Cricetulus griseus: one gene and its partners. The protein of the gene in region 5 interacts with the protein of the main gene of each other region in a pairwise test. Links are inferred from orthologs where the notes say so. Each region holds a gene or a part of one and is shown on either strand. Other genes may lie near its edges.

Region 1 (4,096 bases), on a different chromosome or scaffold from region 5:
TGGGCAGATGGCTCAGTGGGTAAAGCACTTGTCACACAAGCTTGAGGACCTGAGTTCAGATCTCCAGAATCCACATGAAGCCAGACATGCCTCTGTATAATCCACTGCTCCTACAGTGAGATGGAAGCAGCAGGATCTGGAGACCACCTGGAAACTGAAAAGCCAGCTGAGCTGGCACACACGTGGTGAGCAAGAGACCCTGACTCAAAAGTACAGATGAAGATCAACACTCCAGGTTGACCTATGACCTCTATATGTATGCCATGGCACAGTGCATCCACAATCATGAATATGCATACCTATGTACATGCAGCACAAACCACATGCACATAAAGAATTTTTTCTTTGTGTAAACCTGAAGGGATACACAAATTATTCAGAATTTTAGCAATGAATATGATCTCAAAAATGAGATTAGGAAAGAACCTATGTTTACACAGAATCCAATGTAATATCCACAAAATCTGCTTTTGACAGCAAAAGAGGCCCTCCTCCTCACCTTCTCCCTCCTCAAGTGGAATTGGTTGACAAGAGTTTGGATATAGCTGCCTGAAGACTATCCTAAACTATGTATATTTTCTAAAACTAATGCACCTAAGATTACTAATACAGCTAGTGAACCAAGGTAGAAAAAAAGCCTGTGTCTTAAATTCTTGTGGCTAATGAACAGTTAATTACTTTGATTTTATTTTCATCTATATTCCTACCTAACCATATTTCTTCTCATGTGTAAATGTGTTCCATGTCATTAGGAACCCACTAAAATTGCATATACTAAAAGTCTAAGCCAGGCAAGGTAGCTCATGTCTCTAGTCTCAGCACTCAGAAGACAGAGGTGGGCCGATCTCTGTGAGCTGAAAGACTATGAGGTCTCTGGAAAGAGTTTCTGCCCACCAGGACTACATGGTGAGATCCTGGTTGGTTTGTTTTTAAAGCTCGATACAGAAAGAGGAGAGGAACACATTTTTTTTCTTTTTGTCTTTCTCTTAATCTTAGTTTTAAGAGTGTCTCCTTCAAACTGAAAGGCCTCAAATCACCTCGAGAGCAGCTGCTGTAGCACTGGGGTATGTTCCTTTCATAAGGTTTGCACTCGACTGTCCTCAAATGCATGTCCTCTCCCAATCAATAAACTCGCTTAACTTTGCTTCACTTTGACTCATCCTGAATGTCTCTGCGGCAAGAATATGGGCTTGAGAAGAGATCCCTGAGGCTCTGAGTGAGGGGTACTTGTCCTGTGCAAGATCAGCAACCTTAAGTGGCATTCCCAGCTGTCCCAACTGCTAGTGAAAATATGTGAAATTAAATTCTTACCCACGACTAAACCATACATTCATTTGACAAACTTGGTAAAGTAAAAGTGAGGGAAGAAGCAATCAGCCTAGAATTCCTGAAAATTCTGACTGACACCCTAAAAGACAATTGCTCAGAAACCTCAACGTGGAACAGTGATTTTTCTGTTTCCTAGGAAAACATTTAAAAGATCGTGTGATTCCTAGCCTCTCCTAATTCCCTTCCTCAGACATCATTTCCAACTGGAGCAAACTCAATAAGCGATCTGTCCCCAACTGCAGCCACGGACATTGAATGAAAAGAGCTGGGAAATGGGGGGCGGGGGAGGGACAAATGATACAGCTCTATTTTGCGTCATGAACATTAGGAAGACCCCATACAGAGCTCTTCTTTCAAACTGAAAACTAAAAGGGAAGCCCAATCCTAAGTTTTTATGAGACTTCATACAACTAAGTCATGTTAGGAGGGCTTCTCTACTTTTATGCTTTTCCAAGTTCAGTCTCCACAGAAAAAGAAACAAGTAGCAGAAAGAAAGCAATCTGACCAGAGATCAGCCCCACACTGAAGCCCAGGCGAAGCTGGCGGAGAACTGTATCCACAGTGAGGCTCCTATTGTAACCAATGTATTCATTTCCTCGCCAGGCTCTCGCTTTTCACTCGGGGAGGAACGCGAGGCAAGAGTTGTCCTTCACCACTGTCACTTGGGTCAGCGTCTAGAGGGCTTCCTAATCTAAGAGACCTCGGAAGTGCAGATGGAGCCAGTCCCACCATCACCATCTCGGACTCCGTGTCCTACTTTGCCAGGCACCGAGACGGGCAGTAACAGCCGGCAGGGGCGGGGGTGGGGCGGACCCGGGGACACACTCAGCCTCGGCAGGACGTTCCAGAAGGAACCCCAAAGTGAGACCCAGAAACTGTCCCCCGCCCGGCCCCGCCGCGGCGGGAGGGAGGCCGGGTGCGGCGGCACGTGCTCGCCGGGCTGCGAGCTGCAAGCTGCGCCTTCCGGGCCGCGCCTCACCTGGACCCCGGTGTAGTTCTCGAAGAAGAAGAGCACCATGTTCTGGTAGACGCAGTAAAGCCGGTCGTCCACGCGCTGGTAGAGGCGGGCGGGCAGCAGCGCCGACAGCACCCGCCACAGCGTCCAGGCCAGCAGGTAGGTGGGCGCCGAGCCCAGCAACAAGACGCTCGGAAGCAGGTAGCGCATAGAGTACGTGTGGAGCACCAGGGACAGCAGCATCCTCTCGGCTCGCCAGGCGCGACTCCGCCTGCCTTGCCCGTGCCGCCGCCAGGACCTCAGCCACCGCCGGCCGCCCGCCAATCACCGCGCGGGGCCGGCCGCGCCGCCGCCCTCCACCCTGGCTCCGCCCCCAGCATGGGCCGCGGGGCCCCGGGACCCGGCGGGGACTGTGGCTACCCGGCTCGCCGCCACCGCGGTAAGGGCACGCCTCGGCTTGCCCGGCGTGCCCGCCTCGGGGTGCTCGCCTTGGCGTGCTCGCTTTGCTCCGCGCGAACCGCGCCTGTCAGCAGCGAGGCGGCGTGAGGCAGGACGCCCAGGTAATAAGGCGCCTGCAGATTGGACGGCGTGTGGCCGTAACACGCGCTCTGATTGGTCCGGGCCCTTCTCGTCCCTACGCATGCTCGGCTGCGGATGTTGGTTGTGGTTGAGCCCGGGAAGATGTGAGAAGGTGGACTTGGGCCTGTGAAGGCATTCAGCCTTGGTCCTGCGTGGAGAGATGGGGACAGGAGGATGCTCCCGGACAGGAGGATGCTCCCTGCAAGACACGCGTGAGCCGAGGTCGTGGAGCGCAGGAGGGGCTCAGCGCCGCAGGTTACCGGCAGCTGCGGCGCTCCTTCCGGCCTGGTCATTGCAGAATGAGGCCGGGTCTGTCTCCCGTAACCTCGGTTCACCTTTCACAGGACTGTTTCTCCCCCCCCCCCCCCATTAGACCTTTCAAAGCTCCACTCTTGCTTTACTTTGCAACTCCTTGCCTTTTAACTTGTTTCTGCTGTGCTTCTTTCTAGTAGCCTACGTTTCTTCTTTTTTTTTTCAATGTGTAGAAAAGTACTTTCCTATACGTGTAGAAGTTCTGTTCCCGCCAAAAACAAGGACAGTTAAGGAGCAGTAAAACCTTATATAGAAGGACTTATATAGGTCCTTCTGCCTAACTAGTGGAGACAACCTCATCCTAGAAGGTATAGAAGAAAACAAGCCTGTGTGCATATTCAGATCTTTATAAAGTCAATTTTAAATTGTGTGTATGTGTAAATATGTTGATTTCTGTGAGTGACCCTGTGAGTGCCTCTGTTTCTCCCTTTCTGATCCAGACCACTGAATCATCTTCCCACTACATGTCTACTCCCTCGTCTTGCACTTGCCTTCATCTTTTGCCCCAAGTTACTTTCCCATCACCTCTTGAGATGGACTCAGGGCATACAGATGACTCATGTAGTATGCACAATATGTCAGGAACAGATGGACATGTTTATGTATGTTCATGATGTTGGGATTTATTGAATTACAATAAGTTCCACAAGTACTGTGGTTTCACTGGCACCAAAGAGTCATGCTTTACTTGGCAGCCTTGGCTAAGGCAAATAAGGTCCTTTTATTGCATTCTTAATTACAGATATTAACCCTTACATCACACATACATCACTCAGTAAGTTTATCTCTGTATGTTTACATATGTAGATATGTGTGTTACACTGACTACAAAGGGTTAAAAGGGGCAAGGAAACTGGTAGGGATACAAGAGTCTATACTGAGAACATGTGTACCATAAACTCAGCTGCAGAGAAGAAGCTG
Region 2 (4,014 bases), on a different chromosome or scaffold from region 5:
CCTTCTGGTGACCCGTTGATCCCTGCCTCGTGGCTAAAGGAGGTACAGACAGATCAGGTCCAGCCTCTTTGACGTCATGCCTCCCAGCAGCCCCCAGCCTAACATCTAATCCTAGACATGGCACTCTGCCTTGCCATAGAGACTGCTAAATCCTTGGCCCCGCACCTGCACCTTCCTCACACCCCAAACACTGAGAGTGACAGACAGATAACCCATGGAAGCCATCCAGGAATGATTCAAGGCCTGTCAATCATACAGTGCAATGTCTCCAGTTTCTCAGAGAATCCAAGAAAGTAACAAAGTATAACAAGTCCGGGGTCTGTGTGTGTGTGTGTGTGTGTGTGTGTGTGTGTGTGTGTGTGTGTGAGTGGCCCTTTGCCCCAGCAAGGCTGGACTCTACTAGAATGTTTTCTGTACTTTCTTGTGCCTTATCCTTGTTTGTATTCTGCAGAACACAAAGGCTGAAAGCCCCCTCTCTGTGGAGCAGCCCACGGACTGACACAGTTATGCTGGGGAATTCAATGCGGGCCACCTTGCCTGCAAACACTACCACTTCACCACAGCGAGCCCTTAGGAATCAGTCTTCTAACCAAGTGAGCCTCCAGGGGAGACGGGCAAGGTGTTGAGTGACAGGTGCTGCCCAGGTCAGACTTCTACCTGGAGGTGACAGGCCTAATGCACCTCAGTGCCCTCTCCATCCACCCGCCCCTGCCCCTTCGGGTGCTCTCTTGGCCTCTGGTTCTCTCCAGAGACCCTACTTGCTGCTTCTGGTGCTGAGCTCTGAACTCTCCTTGGAGGCCCGACTATGCCATTGCCCGTCTGTCTGTGTCTGTCTGTCTTGTCCATGGAGTTAACAACACCTCTAAAACTCCTTAGCTCCAGTAATCCCTCAGTGTATTATTCTTGGACCACCAGGCCAGGCCGGTCACAGTGCAAACCTAGCAGTGCTGACTGACTGGTCCTAGAAAACTGAGCAGGGACAGCTGCCTGAGCTGCTGCAGGAAACGCTACAATGATTTGTGCATAGGGAGAGGGCATGGCGAACCGGCGCGTTTGTTTCTTTGTTTCCTGATCAATTACAAAAAGACCGTGCTGGAGGGACACGCAGTGGTTAAGTGTGCACACTGCTGCTGCGGAGGTCGGGAGTTCGGTTCCTGTTCCTGCGTAGGGCGGCTCACAACCGCCAGTGCCTCGGGCTGCAGGGTCGTGTGACGCCTTTGGCCTCCTGACACCCGCGCTGACGCGCACGCACCCACACGGACACGTCGATAAAAGACACAGAGAGGCCATTTACTCGGAGGGCGCATGACGTGCCGGCGGCGCTGAGCCGGGGGCCCGCGGCGGCGGAAGGAAGCGCGGGCGCAGGCCCGGCTCGGCGGAGGGTGTGAGCCCGGGGGAGGAGCCTGCGCGGCCGGGCGGCGGGCGGCGGGCGCAGCGGCCCAGCGGCCCAGCCATGTCCGCCGAGGAGGTGGTGCAGATCAGCCTGGAAGGCCGCTGCTACCCGGTGAGCAAGAGCAAGCTGATCGAGCAGAGCGACTACTTCCGCGCGCTCTACCGCTCCGGCATGCGCGAGGCCGTGCGGCCCGAGGCTGGCCCGGAGGTGCAGCAGCTGCGCGGCCTGAGCGCGCCGGGCCTGCGGCTGGTGCTCGACTTCATCAACGCGGGCGGCGCGCGCGAGGGCTGGGGCCTGGGCGAGGACGAGGTGCTGGCCGAGCTGGTGGAGGCCGCGTCCTTCCTGCAGGTCACGGCGCTGCTGCGCCTGCTGCTGTCGCATGTGCGTCTGGGCAACTGCTTGGAGCTGTACCGCCTGGCTCAGGTGTACGGGCTGCCCGACCTGCAGGATGCCTGCCTGCGCTTTATGGCGCTGCGCTTCCACCAGGTGCTGTGCCAGCCGCAGTTCCCGCTCCTGCTGTCGCCGCCGCAGGCCCCGGGGGACTGCAGCCTGAAGCAGAGGCTGAGGGAGGCCCGCATGCGCGGGACCCCGGTTCTGGTGGCCCTGGGGGATTTCCTCGGGGGACCCCTGGCCCCGCACCCGTATCAGGGGGAACCCCCGTCCATGCTTAGGTACGAGGAGACCACGGAACGCTGGTTCCCGCTGGCCAACAACCTGCCCCCCGACCTGGTGAACGTCAGAGGCTACGGCTCAGCCGTCTTGGACAATTACCTCTTCATCGTGGGCGGGTACAGGATCACCAGCCAGGAGATCTCGGCCGCACACTCCTACAACCCCACCACCAACGAGTGGCTGCAGGTGGCCTCCATGAACCAGAAACGGTAAGTGTCTGTCGGCAGGGCCTGAGCCCTCCATTCATTGTCCTGGCAGAGTTCCCGGGGAGCCCGGGGCCTGCCAGCAGGAAGTCGGCCCGCCCAGTGACCTTCTTCCAGGTGCGGGCCTCAGGTTTCTCTGTCTCGGTGTGTTTGAAGTGGATATTACAGAAGATGACTGCTGTTTTTTCCTTCTCTTTCCTTCCCTGGTCTGATCCGAATTATAATGCCTCTTTGGCAGCAGTATCTAACACTCTGGCTTCAGGAACTTTGGTTGTCGCTGCCAGTGACTTTGCATCCTTCTGCACCTGGGTAGGAATCCGCCGTCCCTAGGATGATGATATTAATACGCGCCACAAAGGGATTCACTTCTTTTTTTCCCCTTCCTTCTCCCTTCTTTTTGTTTATTTCCTCCCTAGACAGCAATCATCTTTGACCCAAAACTTGAGCCCAGAGCAGGATCAACTACAGAATCGGCATGCCCTTGCCCCTCGAGTCTCTTGTCTGCCTGAGCATCCTGCAGCTATTAGCATGAAGCATACATGTACCCCCCTGCTTATGTTCCTTGGTTTTCCTTTATCTTGGTGTGTTCTTTCCTCAGGCTGGTCTTGAACTCCTGAGCTCGCTAGGCTCAAGTGATCCTCCTGCCTTCTAGCCTTTGGAGTGCTGGGATTAAAGGTGTGCACTAACGAGTCTGGCTTTCTACAATAAATAATCTCTATGTTCCTTACAGCTTCAAATGTAATGTATCTACCTTGTCAGTGTTGTCAATATACACACTTCCCCTGCTTACTGTTTGAATCTATGAACCTGTGGACTCAAAGGGCCAGGTGCATTCATTCCTTTCTCCCTCACTCATTCCCTTCCTGTGGAGCCCTCTTACCTTGACCATGGGTGGCTCAGAGAAGAAATGGAGGAGCTTGGAGGTCAGGGTGGGAGGAGAAGTAAGGAAAGGAGCCTGGAGAAAAAGAAAATGAAAGCAAGATAAAAAAAAAAAAAAAAAAAGCAGACACAGGAAGAGAAAGGGAGTCCAGACAGTCGTCCCAGGTTGTCTCAGTCTTACAGGCCTGTTGCCCCAGCTGCTTAGACTGCTGAAGCGAGCAGGTTCCAAGGTAAGGGCCTTTCTAGGTTGCAGGTGAGTTCCAGGCCAGCCTGGATAACAAGCAAAACATAGGAGAGTGGGAAAACCATATCTCAGTGTGAGAGCGCTTGCCTAGAACTCATGAGGCCTCCATTCAATCACCAGTGCCCCAGAAATGGTGGGGAGGGTAGCTACGACAGGACAGGCCCTCTCTACCAGGCCACCTGCTGCCACCCAGATCCCACTGTGGTCTTTGCCTTGAAATGACTGGAAACTAGAAGGAAGAAATCTGAACTGGAACTGCCCGGTCCAACGCAGGACAAGAGACACTTAGGTTAGGGGTTATTTGCAGGAACATACCTTGTCCTGATGGCTCAGAGGCTGAGAGCACTTGGTGCTCTTTCATAAGACGTGGTGTTCAGTTTCCCAGCTCCCACACTGGGTGCTATAACCTGTAGCTGCATCTCCAGGGCATCTGTAGCTAACAGGCACCCACATACATGCATACATACACATATAGGCACCAAATAAAGATAAAAAGTAAATCCTAGAAAGCCCTGGAAAGCTGAATTATAAGAAGCAGAGATGAATGTGCCACCCACTCTCCCTTCCAGAGGTATTACTAGGGGTTGGTGGGCTTCCATCCGACCTACTGTAACATGGTATTT
Region 3 (2,775 bases), on a different chromosome or scaffold from region 5:
GGACACGTACTAAGTGCCTAGGGTTGCCAGCTGTGGCCTGCTCCTTTGGAAAGCAACTAACAAGAGGCTGCCAGGCAGAGGCCAGAAGAGCTGAGGATTGGCCAGGATGGGCACAGTTAAAAGCAAGTGTGTGGAGGCAGGTGCTGCCCTGGCCCTGGTCTTAAACTCTTCCAGGGGCAGTGATCAGGGTCAGCTGGCTTCTACTGCCCTCTCCCAACCAGAGAAGCACAGATCCAGGGGTGTTGCCCCTGAGCCCATCTGGCCATGACGAGCTGCATCAATATGCAGCTGTAGGCTTCTCCCCACCACCCTGCCACCTCTCCACTGTGATGTATGTCCCTTGTCTGTTCCCACAGGATTGTGAAGTGACTGGGGTTAACTGGGTGGGTGCAGCTGGAGGAAGGGGCCAGTGCAACTCTCCTCAGGCTTTGGCCTTGCAAGTGAACTCACATATCTGCTCTGTATGTAATAAATGTCTTAACACTACTTTTGTCTTGAAACTATGCCAGTGCACAAGGGTTTTCTGCAGTTTATTATGAAAAGAAATACAGGGAGGGATGTGGGAATGGCTGTCCCTGGACAGACTGGGTTGGGTGGACCGGCACCCACAGCACTATCACTGCTGCTGAGTTTCGTGAGGCTCGCAGAAGACCAACAACCTCCAGGTTGGTAATGCTGACTTCTGTGCCGTCTACTCATATAGCCAATGCCCGGCGCTGTCTTCCCAGCACAGAAGTTCATCCTCACGGAACCAAAGCGCAATCTCTCTGTGAGCACTTTCCACCGAGTCACTGCCATGAATCACATTCCTGTGCGGGAATGGCTAGTGAGCAGAGGAGGAAGGGTGAGGGTGGCCAGGGAGTTTGGTAGTACTTACTTGCCAACCTCCACGCAGAAATCCCCACGGATGGTGCCAGGCATAGCGTCCCCTGGGTCAGTGGCCCCTATGAGGGCCCGTGAGGCACGTACGACGTCCAGCCCTTGCCACACCTGCAGGGAGTACTGTCAGCGCCAAAAGGGCTCCCCCAAGGCTTCGCCCTCCCCTTGCAGGTCATCAGAAACTCACCATGGCCACCACCGGACCAGAGCTCATGTATTTAACTAATCGGCTGTAGAAGGGTCTCTCGTGCAGCTCCGCATAATGCTCCCGCAGCAGCTCTTCGGAGGCCTAGGGGAGGGGTAGCTTATCAGTGCCAGGGCCCTGACACTATGCCATCTCGATTCCCTTCCTGGATCTACCAGCTCCTTTGTGAGCCCATACCTTCACTAGCTTTAGTGCCACCAATTTGAAGCCTTTCCTCTCAAAGCGACGCACGATCTCGCCCACCAGCCGCCGCTGCACGCCGTCGGGCTTCACTGCCAAGAACGTGCGCTCGTTCACGCCGCTGTAGGCTGCGGGAGCACTGGTTTCAGGCATGCCCCACCGCACTGCCCTCAGCCCAGACCCAGCCCGCCCTGGTGCTCACCTGCGGGAAAGAGGTTGGCGAAGATGGTTAGCACCAGGCAGATCATGGCGGCGGCTGGGGCGGACCAGGCGGCGAGGGGGCGGGGCCTCCCTTAAAGGACCTCGGGGCGCGGACTCTGCAGTCCCAGCACATTTGAGCCCAGGGCACAGCGACAGCGCCCAAGACCTGCCTGAGTGTACTGGAGCACCAGGAGCCCTGCTCCGCACTCCCGGCTTCCCTACTCCGCCCCCACCCCACACCCCGTCCTGAGGTGCCCACGTAATGAAAGCACAACACCGGCCGCTTCGTGCATTTATTTCCAGACGCAGGTATGAGCAAAAGGCCACCTGAAAATGACAGCCTGTCAACTGCCCCATCATTCATTGGCAGGTGTGTCAGGGCTGTAGGGTCTAACTCTCCACCAAAGGGGATGTTTGTCACAGTCTAAGATACTTGTTCATCAAATAACAAACATGGCCACTCTGCCCATCATGGATGGCAGTTAGACTGGGGTGCCCTTGGCCCTCCCTTTGGTCTCCTGTTTTGCAGGGTAGTCCCAAGGATGCACCCGAGTCCCCTCTAGGTTCAGGAGCGGTTCCTGGACGCTGGTATCCCCGTTTTTCTGTCGTTCAGCGAGGATCATGGCCCGCAGCAAAGGTGGGTAGGGGACAGGGTTCAATCCGTCCTCTGGTTTGGCAGTGAAGGCTGTGAAGGCCTCCTCTTCGTGCTTGGGTACCAGCCGCCAGTCGTGGTACATGACTTGCTCGATTTCCCGAGCTTTATCCTCAGTCTTCCCTGGGGAAAGAAGATAAGCTGACTGTCGGCTGGCTGGATAATCTGCGAACCACCGATTCCAAGCAGCACCCAGCCTTACCTTTGAAGGTCAGGATGCCCCAGGCCCTCCCGTGGTCCAGGTTCTGCAGAACAAGAGGGGGGATTGTCAACGTAGCGCCCCTGCCACTAAGTTACGTGGGTAAGGGAGACATAAAAGCCCAGGTGGTTCGGGGTGGGTAGAACCAGCTGATGTAGCCCAGGGTGGGCAAGATGGAGAAAGCGTAGACAAGAACGGGCAGCACAGTGAGAGCGCACCTGTGCCGTGTAGTCGGGTCTCACGCGCGTGAGGCGCCAGTAGCACGGCTCGTCGTGCTGCCACAGCCAGGACTTGCGGGTGACCAGACGGCCCAAGCCGAACACTGGGAGGCGGGCGAGCAGCTGGAAGAGGCGGCTCTCACGGCGCACGTCGGCCCAGGCGCGCACCGGCAGCCGGCGACCCGAGTGCGGCCGGGTCAGAGTCTCGTAGTCTAGGGCGTAGAGCTGCGAATCTCGCGGC
Region 4 (3,387 bases), about 200 Mb from region 5:
ATTTAGGGTAGGGAGAACATTCCTCCAGGCCTCTAGGATTACATTCTCATTTGCTTGTCTGTGTTTTCAGACAGGGTCTCATACTGTAGCCCAGACTGGCCTTGAACTCATGATCCTCTTGCCTCGCCCCAAATGTTGGTGTTACACACATGAGCCACCATGTCTGAATTAATTATTCTCTTTAGATTCTAGCTGCTTTTCCTGCCCTTCAGTTGGACTTTAAGAAAATTTATTACATCTCTTCACAAATCTGCACTTTGTCTAGAGTGGACCCCACCTTGCCACCTGTAACCGTAGCGGGAGAGGCGGGATAAGGTGTTCCAGACCCTGCTCAACACCTGACCCTAGGAGGTTGGTCATGTTTGCTCAGCAGGTGAGGTTCACATAATAAAGAACAGTGGGAGGGCTTGGACCTGGTATAAAAGGTCTGGGAATTTCTAGAAGATTTGCACCTGAAACTGCTAGGGGAAAGGTGAGTTGGGGGAAGACCTCCAAATCTGAGCTAGGAAAGACAATGCCTGGACTGTAGCAGGGCAGACGCAGGCAGCAGCTCCTGGATGGGAGCTATTTTGGGGTGCAAAGGTGTCTGGTTTTGGCTAAGGGGGGTGAATATGGACAGGCTTAGCTGTGGGAGACAGGGTTATGACACACAGACAAGTTGCTTGAGAACTGATGTCTGAGCTCGTGCAAGCTGCTCCTAAAATCTCTTCGCCTCGCTCAGTTCCGCCAGTGCTCCCTGGACATTGGCGAACTGTCTTCTATTGTCCTTTGCTCTTGAGGTGATACAGAGGCACCTTGAAAATGTTCTTTGCCTTGATTTAAGAGTAGAGTGATGCTAGAGCTTTAACTGTGCCTCAGACAGCTCATCAACCATTTGATTTCAGGGAGGTTTTGCTCTGATTCTTGGATCATCAGTTCAACTGCCTCAATATTTTGGGGGTGACCTTTACTTCCTCTTCAGAAAACTCTCTCGTGCTTTGTGCCTGCATGAAGGGAGGCTTGACTCAGTTTAACACAGACGGAAAGTTTGGATTATCTTTTTGGATTGGGAAAGAAGGGTTAGTTAGGTACGGTCAGAACAGGGAGAACCGGAGGGATTAGGGGCCTGGAAAATAATATCTGAAAGGAACAGGACTATCCCTGGGCAGTTTTGTAGGTCTCTTAGATCTGAATTGAAATATCACCATGACATGGGTCTGTATTCCCAGCCAGAGATGCCTGGGTAAATGAAATCCAGAAAGCAATGAGCCTTCCTTTTCTCCCTCTTCCCACTGCAGCCTCAGAATGCTGGCCATCATTCTCTTAGCCCTTCTTTGTGCCTCGGCCTCTGGCAATGCCAGTAAGTGAAATGCCACTGACCTGGTAATGGGATAATGAGAAGGCAGCCCATGTACTGCTGATGCTGGTCAGGGCTGCCTGATACTGGTTTGGGGTGGTGGGGGAAATGGGGGTAGTGGAGAGCAGCTGTGCTCCCAGAGTATCTGTCCCTCCAGGCCTTTCTTTCTCCTCTAGTTCAGTCCAGGTCCTCCTCTTACAGTGGGGAGTATGGAGGTAAAGGAGGAAAGCGATTCTCTCATTCTGGCAACCAGCTGGACGGCCCCATCACTGCCATCCGTATCCGAGTCAATTCACGTTACATAGTAGGGTGAGAGTCTTCATGTTTCTGTGGTTTGGGAACTGTCTGGGACCTTACTAGGTTGGGAAAGTCTCATTCACTCTGGATCACACCTGTTTAAATCGGTAAGTCACAGTAATGTGTTGGAACACCTGGAGTCTAGATCTGTGCTATTCTAGTCCCCTAATACACATGACCTTGGCAAGTCAACAATCACAAACTCTCAGGGGTCTCACATTACCTGGGTTGGATTTCACCTGAGGTCTAAACCTCTTTCCCATATTTCTGTCGGGCATACTTTACCTGTGCTTGTTGTCTGTCCTGGGGTAGTCCCATCCCTTCCTCCAGCTGGAAACTTCCATCAAATGCAGAGCCAAATGCATTTCCTTCTAGTCTAAGTTCTGAACTGTGACACCGTGCTGGTTCGTCTCTCCTCTGTCTTGCCTGGGACACTTTCCAGTGTTTGAAAATCCTTGGGCTTCTTTGAAGTTTGTGTTGGCGGTGAGCTCAGACTCTGGCTGTCTGGGTGACTGAGTTCCACAAGCCAATATGCCAGCAAAATGAGAAGCCGAGATTCTCTGCATGGTCTTCTAAGGCTCACGCAGTCTTTGTATCTCATGGAACTTGTCACCAGTTTGAAGATACAGCATATAGACTAAGAAGATATATATATATATATATAATATATATATATATATATATAGTTTATTTTATGTTTGTGTGTGCATGATATGTGGGGGTGCCCAGGTGCCCCACCGTACATGTGGAGGCCAGAGGGAATCTTCTGTGAGTGGGTTCTCCCCCTCCACCACGTGGGACCTAGGGGTGGAACCCGTGTGGTCAGGCTTGGCAGCAGGCACCTTTACCAGCCGAGCCATCTCTCCATTCCAGTCTTGAATTGTAATAACCATGTTCCACGTGTTCCTTCTTCCTTCCCACCCCTGCCCCCAGTCTCCAGGTGCGCTATGGCACAGTGTGGAGTGAGTATGTGGGTGGCAAGCAGGGAGACCTGGAGGAGATCTTTCTGCACCCCGGGGAGTCTGTGATCCAGGTGTCTGGGAAGTACAGGTATTACCTGAAGCAGCTGATCTTCGTGACAGACAAAGGCCGCTACCTGCCTTTTGGGAAAGACTCAGGCACAAGTTTCAACGCCATTCCCTTACACCCCAACACCGTCCTTCGTTTCATTAGTGGCCGATCTGGCTCTGTCATCGATGCCATTAGCCTACACTGGGATGTCTACCCTAGCCACTGCAACACTTGCTGAAACCCACCTACTCTCTGGCAGCGGGTCTGTGTGGGTGTGAGAACCCTCTTATCACCAAGCCCCATGCAAACATGCAAATAGCTTAATAAAAGGATATGACTAAAGATGGTGTTTGTCCACATCCTAATTCTAATAAAAATGTGTGAAACTTATTTCTGGACTTTTTAAAATATTCAATTAAAAACATTTTGAGACAGGATCTCTCTACGTCCTGGAACTCACTATGTAGACCAGGCTGAACTCGCAGAGTCTGCCTGTCTCTGCCTCTGGAGTGCTGGGATAAAAGGGGTGAGCCACCATGCCTGGCTGTATCTGGCTACTGTTGAACGTTAATCTAAGGAAATGGGAGAATAAGGATGAGATGTGCTATGGGCTTTTCTTTATGCCATCAAAAAGAGACAAAATTCTGCCTGCACCAACTCTTCCCAAGGACAGCCCCTGAAAATTTTTCCTAATAGGACTTCAGAGGCTAGGGTAAGGCTTGGTTGTACCAACTTGCCAAAAC
Region 5 (3,355 bases):
GTAACTGTTGAGAGTTTCAATTTTCTCCCCTCCATTCTTTACTCCAATGGCTCTAAAGACTGACGTGGCGGAAGAACAATCTATGCCTGTACTCAATGTTTTCCAACCACAGGCTCTGCTGTTCTTATGTAGGGTCATCCCTAAACAAACCTACTGGGAGCTAAAGCATCCAGTCAAAGAGCACTCAGCAGCCCTAACCTACCAGATGGCTCATTGTCTCAACACCACCTAGCGGGACAGGCTGGCTCACAACCGTTATCACAATACTCAGGAGGAGGACCAGTGCAGATCCAGTCTGGGGATACATACATAATGAGTTTCAGAATAGCCAGATCTACGGAGTAAGACAGTGTTGTACAAACCACTGCTGTACCCCTTCCCCAACCCCCAAAAGAAATATCCAATTAAAAAAAAAAAATCCAGAATAAATCAAGCCAAATAGCCTTTAAGACGTGTTGAGAAAAAACAGACATTTTTTCTACAAAAGAGGCAAGACAACCAGTGTAAAAGCTGGAGATTTATTGTTATTTGTGATTAATAAATCAAACTGGCTATGACACAGCCCCTCTGTGGTGCCATTCACCAGTACAAAAGTCTCTAACCCAGACATAAGGCAGAGAGAGCAGAGAGACACACGAGCACTACCTTCACCAGCCAGGCCTCCACCCCGACTTTTGTACATGCTTTCTTCTTGGGGACAATGTCAGAGCAGTGCACAGTCTGGGGTCAACCTGACCTCTCAACCTTTTAATAGCAAGCAACTTACAGAGTTAAAGAGTTCACCATCTACTTCCCTTGATTTGTTTGTCTGAAGTCACTTCAGATTATTTTAACATTATAACTTTGGGTAACTGTACAAGAGAGAATACAATGACCTAAGAGAATACTGAACCAGAGTCAGCCAAGTATGTCACTGACCCTAAAGTTATATTTTAATTGGTCCCGAAGGAATGTATCACCCCAACAGTGTGAGAGTTAGGCAAACAGAACTTCTTTGGGAAGGAAGGAAGAGGCTATAGCATAGCCAAACTTACTCAACTGTGAAAACGGCTCTTTGTGTTCACCAGACTGACACTACTGTATGCATAAACTCTTCACAGACCTTGGTTGTCAGTATCACTTAGTTCAGGCTGGCCCAATCCAGAATAGATTCTGTCTCATCCCACCCCCACCCCCCTCTGAGGCTCTGAACAGCACGACAGACATTCAACTACTTCTTCGTAATAGAACTAGGCAAACACTTCAGAAACAAGTGGCTCACTCACTAATCATTTTAAATCCGGGTATTGCCTATGAATGAGAGAGCTGATAAACCCAAGAGACAGCTCTACTTTTATATGGCAATTAAGACGGAAACGTCAGCACTTTCAGGGAAGACAACATTTCAATCCCACTCAATGCTGCCTGGACACCTATGGGGAGCAGGAAGCCCCGGAAAATGCACTGGAGTCTGTTACAGTGCTCCTCAGTCTGAACAAAATATAGGTAATTTACAGCTATTATGTGAATGCTGAGATATTGTTACATTATATTGTCTGTACAATTAAATGTCCCTAAAGAGATAACCAGAGTCAGTTTTTCTTTATTTCCTGCTGAGAGGTGTTTATCAAAGAAGCTGTAAGATTCTACACAATTAGGAATCCTTGTTTTACTTTTTTGGTTACAGGAATTTTGCTTAGATGACCTAGAAATGTGCAGTAATTTGTACTGTATACAAATAAGCAAAATTGTCAGTAGTACAAACCTTACAGCATTATTTGCAAAAATACATGCCAAAGTCACAGTAAGCAATATTGTACCACAAACCATGGAGCGCAAATGATCTGCTTTTAATGCCTTTATTCTACATAAATTACTACCATGGGGTTATGTTTAAAAAGCAAGTTAGTTGGACAGATGCAGGACAAAAATTTGTTCACCCAATTAGAAAAGGTGATATTTAAAAAAAAAAAAATTACAATAAATGCCAAGTGTTTGATGCATGCAGCAGCCTTAACTGAAAACATTGATTCCCACTGTTTCACAGAGATTCAGAACCCAGCACAGAAGTCTTACTGCACTCCACCTCAGGTGCTTCCTACCGGTCTCTTTTATAACAGCACAGAGTTCCCATGAAATAAAGCAGGTTATTTTAAAGATTTAAGAGCCGTTATCAAAAATAAATTACATTTTTTCCCCCAGGATACAGAAATGCTGCTATGATGGCTGGGAGCCCAGCAACCGTTCAATTGCTGCGTTGATGTCACCCCCTGTTGCTATCAGTGCTTGCAAGTTTGCTTCACGGTTCAAAAATCCCATGGCACTGAGCTGTTCCAGTTGTTGCTGGAACCTGACTTCTGGGCTCTGCAGCTGTTGAGAAGAACAAAGAAGCACATTCTAAGGAGAGGCAGTCTTCAAACACCTCAACTGCCTTTTAAACGGTATACGCTGGTTGGCCAAGCTTGTTTTAAATTGCTACCTGTGCCTTGAGATATAACCACCATATTTGGCTATTTATTAAAGAGAGTGAACTTACTCAACTAAAATATACAAGACCATCTATAATTATTTTATAAACAAAGTGGACATTTCCAGGTGTTACTTTGTAATTTATCCTTATCATATTTATCATATTTACTTCAAATGAGCAAAATATGATTTAAAATAATTTAGTTATAATTTATAAATATATTTAAAAATTGTTTAACATTTTATTTTAGAATAGTTCATTCCTAAACTATGTAATTCTGCCTTTAAAACACCTTACAGAATGGGGGTGAATACTTGGGGGCCTTGGATTTGATTCCCCAGGCCCTCCCTCTCTCCTCTCACAATGGGTAAAACACGCTCAACAAATTCCATTACTTCAGAGGCTCATGAACAAGCAGAAACTCTTTTAAGAGCCCATGTAAAGACAGCTGGTGCTTTCTCTTGTATTGATACTGAGTGTACATCAATTACAATATACTAACTAGCCTGATGGCAGAATTTATTTTCTAACCTTATCTTAGGTGTTATATGTGTTTCGCCTGTATGGGTACCATGTGCATGCCTGATGCCCACAGAAGTGAAAAGAGCCCTGAGACTGGAATTATATATGGTTGTGAGCGGCCATGTAGGTGCTGAGAATTGGATCCGGCTCTGGAAGCACAGCCAATGTTCTTAACCACTGAGCAAGTCATTTCTCCAGGCCTCCTTAATGATAAATTCTTGGTAAAGACAATAAATGTTCACAGCTACAAGACCATTACTAAGGAGTCCACGTGTTCAGTTACTACAGGATGTGCTGGGGGAGTGGACAGGCTACAGTTGGAAGCCTAGATATGGCTGTTCTGAGACACTGACAATGTTTTTAGGTTTTCCCTGATAAACCCTT

What was found. The genes of interacting proteins can lie anywhere in the genome.
Region 1: the proteins of Ubqln1 (region 5) and Agpat5 interact in binary tests that used the Homo sapiens proteins (3 or more experiments, as listed by UniProt). The two-hybrid records come from large-scale screens. The link is inferred for Cricetulus griseus from reciprocal best matches to the Homo sapiens genes UBQLN1 and AGPAT5.
Region 2: the proteins of Ubqln1 (region 5) and Klhl42 interact in binary tests that used the Homo sapiens proteins (3 or more experiments, as listed by UniProt). The two-hybrid records come from large-scale screens. The link is inferred for Cricetulus griseus from reciprocal best matches to the Homo sapiens genes UBQLN1 and KLHL42.
Region 3: the proteins of Ubqln1 (region 5) and Nme3 interact in binary tests that used the Homo sapiens proteins (3 or more experiments, as listed by UniProt). The two-hybrid records come from large-scale screens. The link is inferred for Cricetulus griseus from reciprocal best matches to the Homo sapiens genes UBQLN1 and NME3.
Region 4: the proteins of Ubqln1 (region 5) and Zg16 interact in binary tests that used the Homo sapiens proteins (3 or more experiments, as listed by UniProt). The link is inferred for Cricetulus griseus from reciprocal best matches to the Homo sapiens genes UBQLN1 and ZG16.

What each region holds. Positions count from the first base shown.
Region 1 is NW_023276807.1:62,409,622-62,413,717, forward strand, and holds the start of Agpat5 (1-acyl-sn-glycerol-3-phosphate acyltransferase epsilon), read right to left. Parts: upstream 2,806-4,096; 5' UTR 2,528-2,805; coding exon 2,309-2,527; intron 1-2,308. UniProt on the Homo sapiens protein: Converts 1-acyl-sn-glycerol-3-phosphate (lysophosphatidic acid or LPA) into 1,2-diacyl-sn-glycerol-3-phosphate (phosphatidic acid or PA) by incorporating an acyl moiety at the sn-2 position of the glycerol backbone.
Region 2 is NC_048601.1:2,620,143-2,624,156, reverse strand, and holds the start of Klhl42 (kelch-like protein 42), read left to right. Parts: upstream 1-1,209; 5' UTR 1,210-1,453; coding exon 1,454-2,274; intron 2,275-3,148; exon of another isoform or gene 3,149-3,229; intron 3,230-4,014. UniProt on the Homo sapiens protein: Substrate-specific adapter of a BCR (BTB-CUL3-RBX1) E3 ubiquitin-protein ligase complex required for mitotic progression and cytokinesis. The BCR(KLHL42) E3 ubiquitin ligase complex mediates the ubiquitination and subsequent degradation of KATNA1.
Region 3 is NC_048600.1:44,489,626-44,492,400, reverse strand, and holds Nme3 (nucleoside diphosphate kinase 3), read right to left. Parts: upstream 1,605-2,775; 5' UTR 1,513-1,604; coding exon 1,467-1,512; intron 1,393-1,466; coding exon 1,262-1,392; intron 1,169-1,261; coding exon 1,067-1,168; intron 991-1,066; coding exon 878-990; intron 810-877; coding exon 692-809; 3' UTR 506-691; downstream 1-505. Other genes in the region: Mrps34 (28S ribosomal protein S34, mitochondrial), read right to left, coding at 1,948-2,240, 2,320-2,362, 2,535-2,775. UniProt on the Homo sapiens protein: Catalyzes the phosphorylation of ribonucleosides and deoxyribonucleoside diphosphates, other than ATP, into the corresponding triphosphates with ATP as the major phosphate donor.
Region 4 is NC_048596.1:73,700,659-73,704,045, forward strand, and holds Zg16 (zymogen granule membrane protein 16), read left to right. Parts: upstream 1-1,284; coding exon 1,285-1,339; intron 1,340-1,512; coding exon 1,513-1,645; intron 1,646-2,566; coding exon 2,567-2,882; downstream 2,883-3,387. UniProt on the Homo sapiens protein: May play a role in protein trafficking. May act as a linker molecule between the submembranous matrix on the luminal side of zymogen granule membrane (ZGM) and aggregated secretory proteins during granule formation in the TGN.
Region 5 is NC_048596.1:277,204,151-277,207,505, forward strand, and holds the end of Ubqln1 (ubiquilin-1), read right to left. Parts: intron 2,350-3,355; coding exon 2,197-2,349; 3' UTR 505-2,196; downstream 1-504. UniProt on the Homo sapiens protein: Plays an important role in the regulation of different protein degradation mechanisms and pathways including ubiquitin-proteasome system (UPS), autophagy and endoplasmic reticulum-associated protein degradation (ERAD) pathway.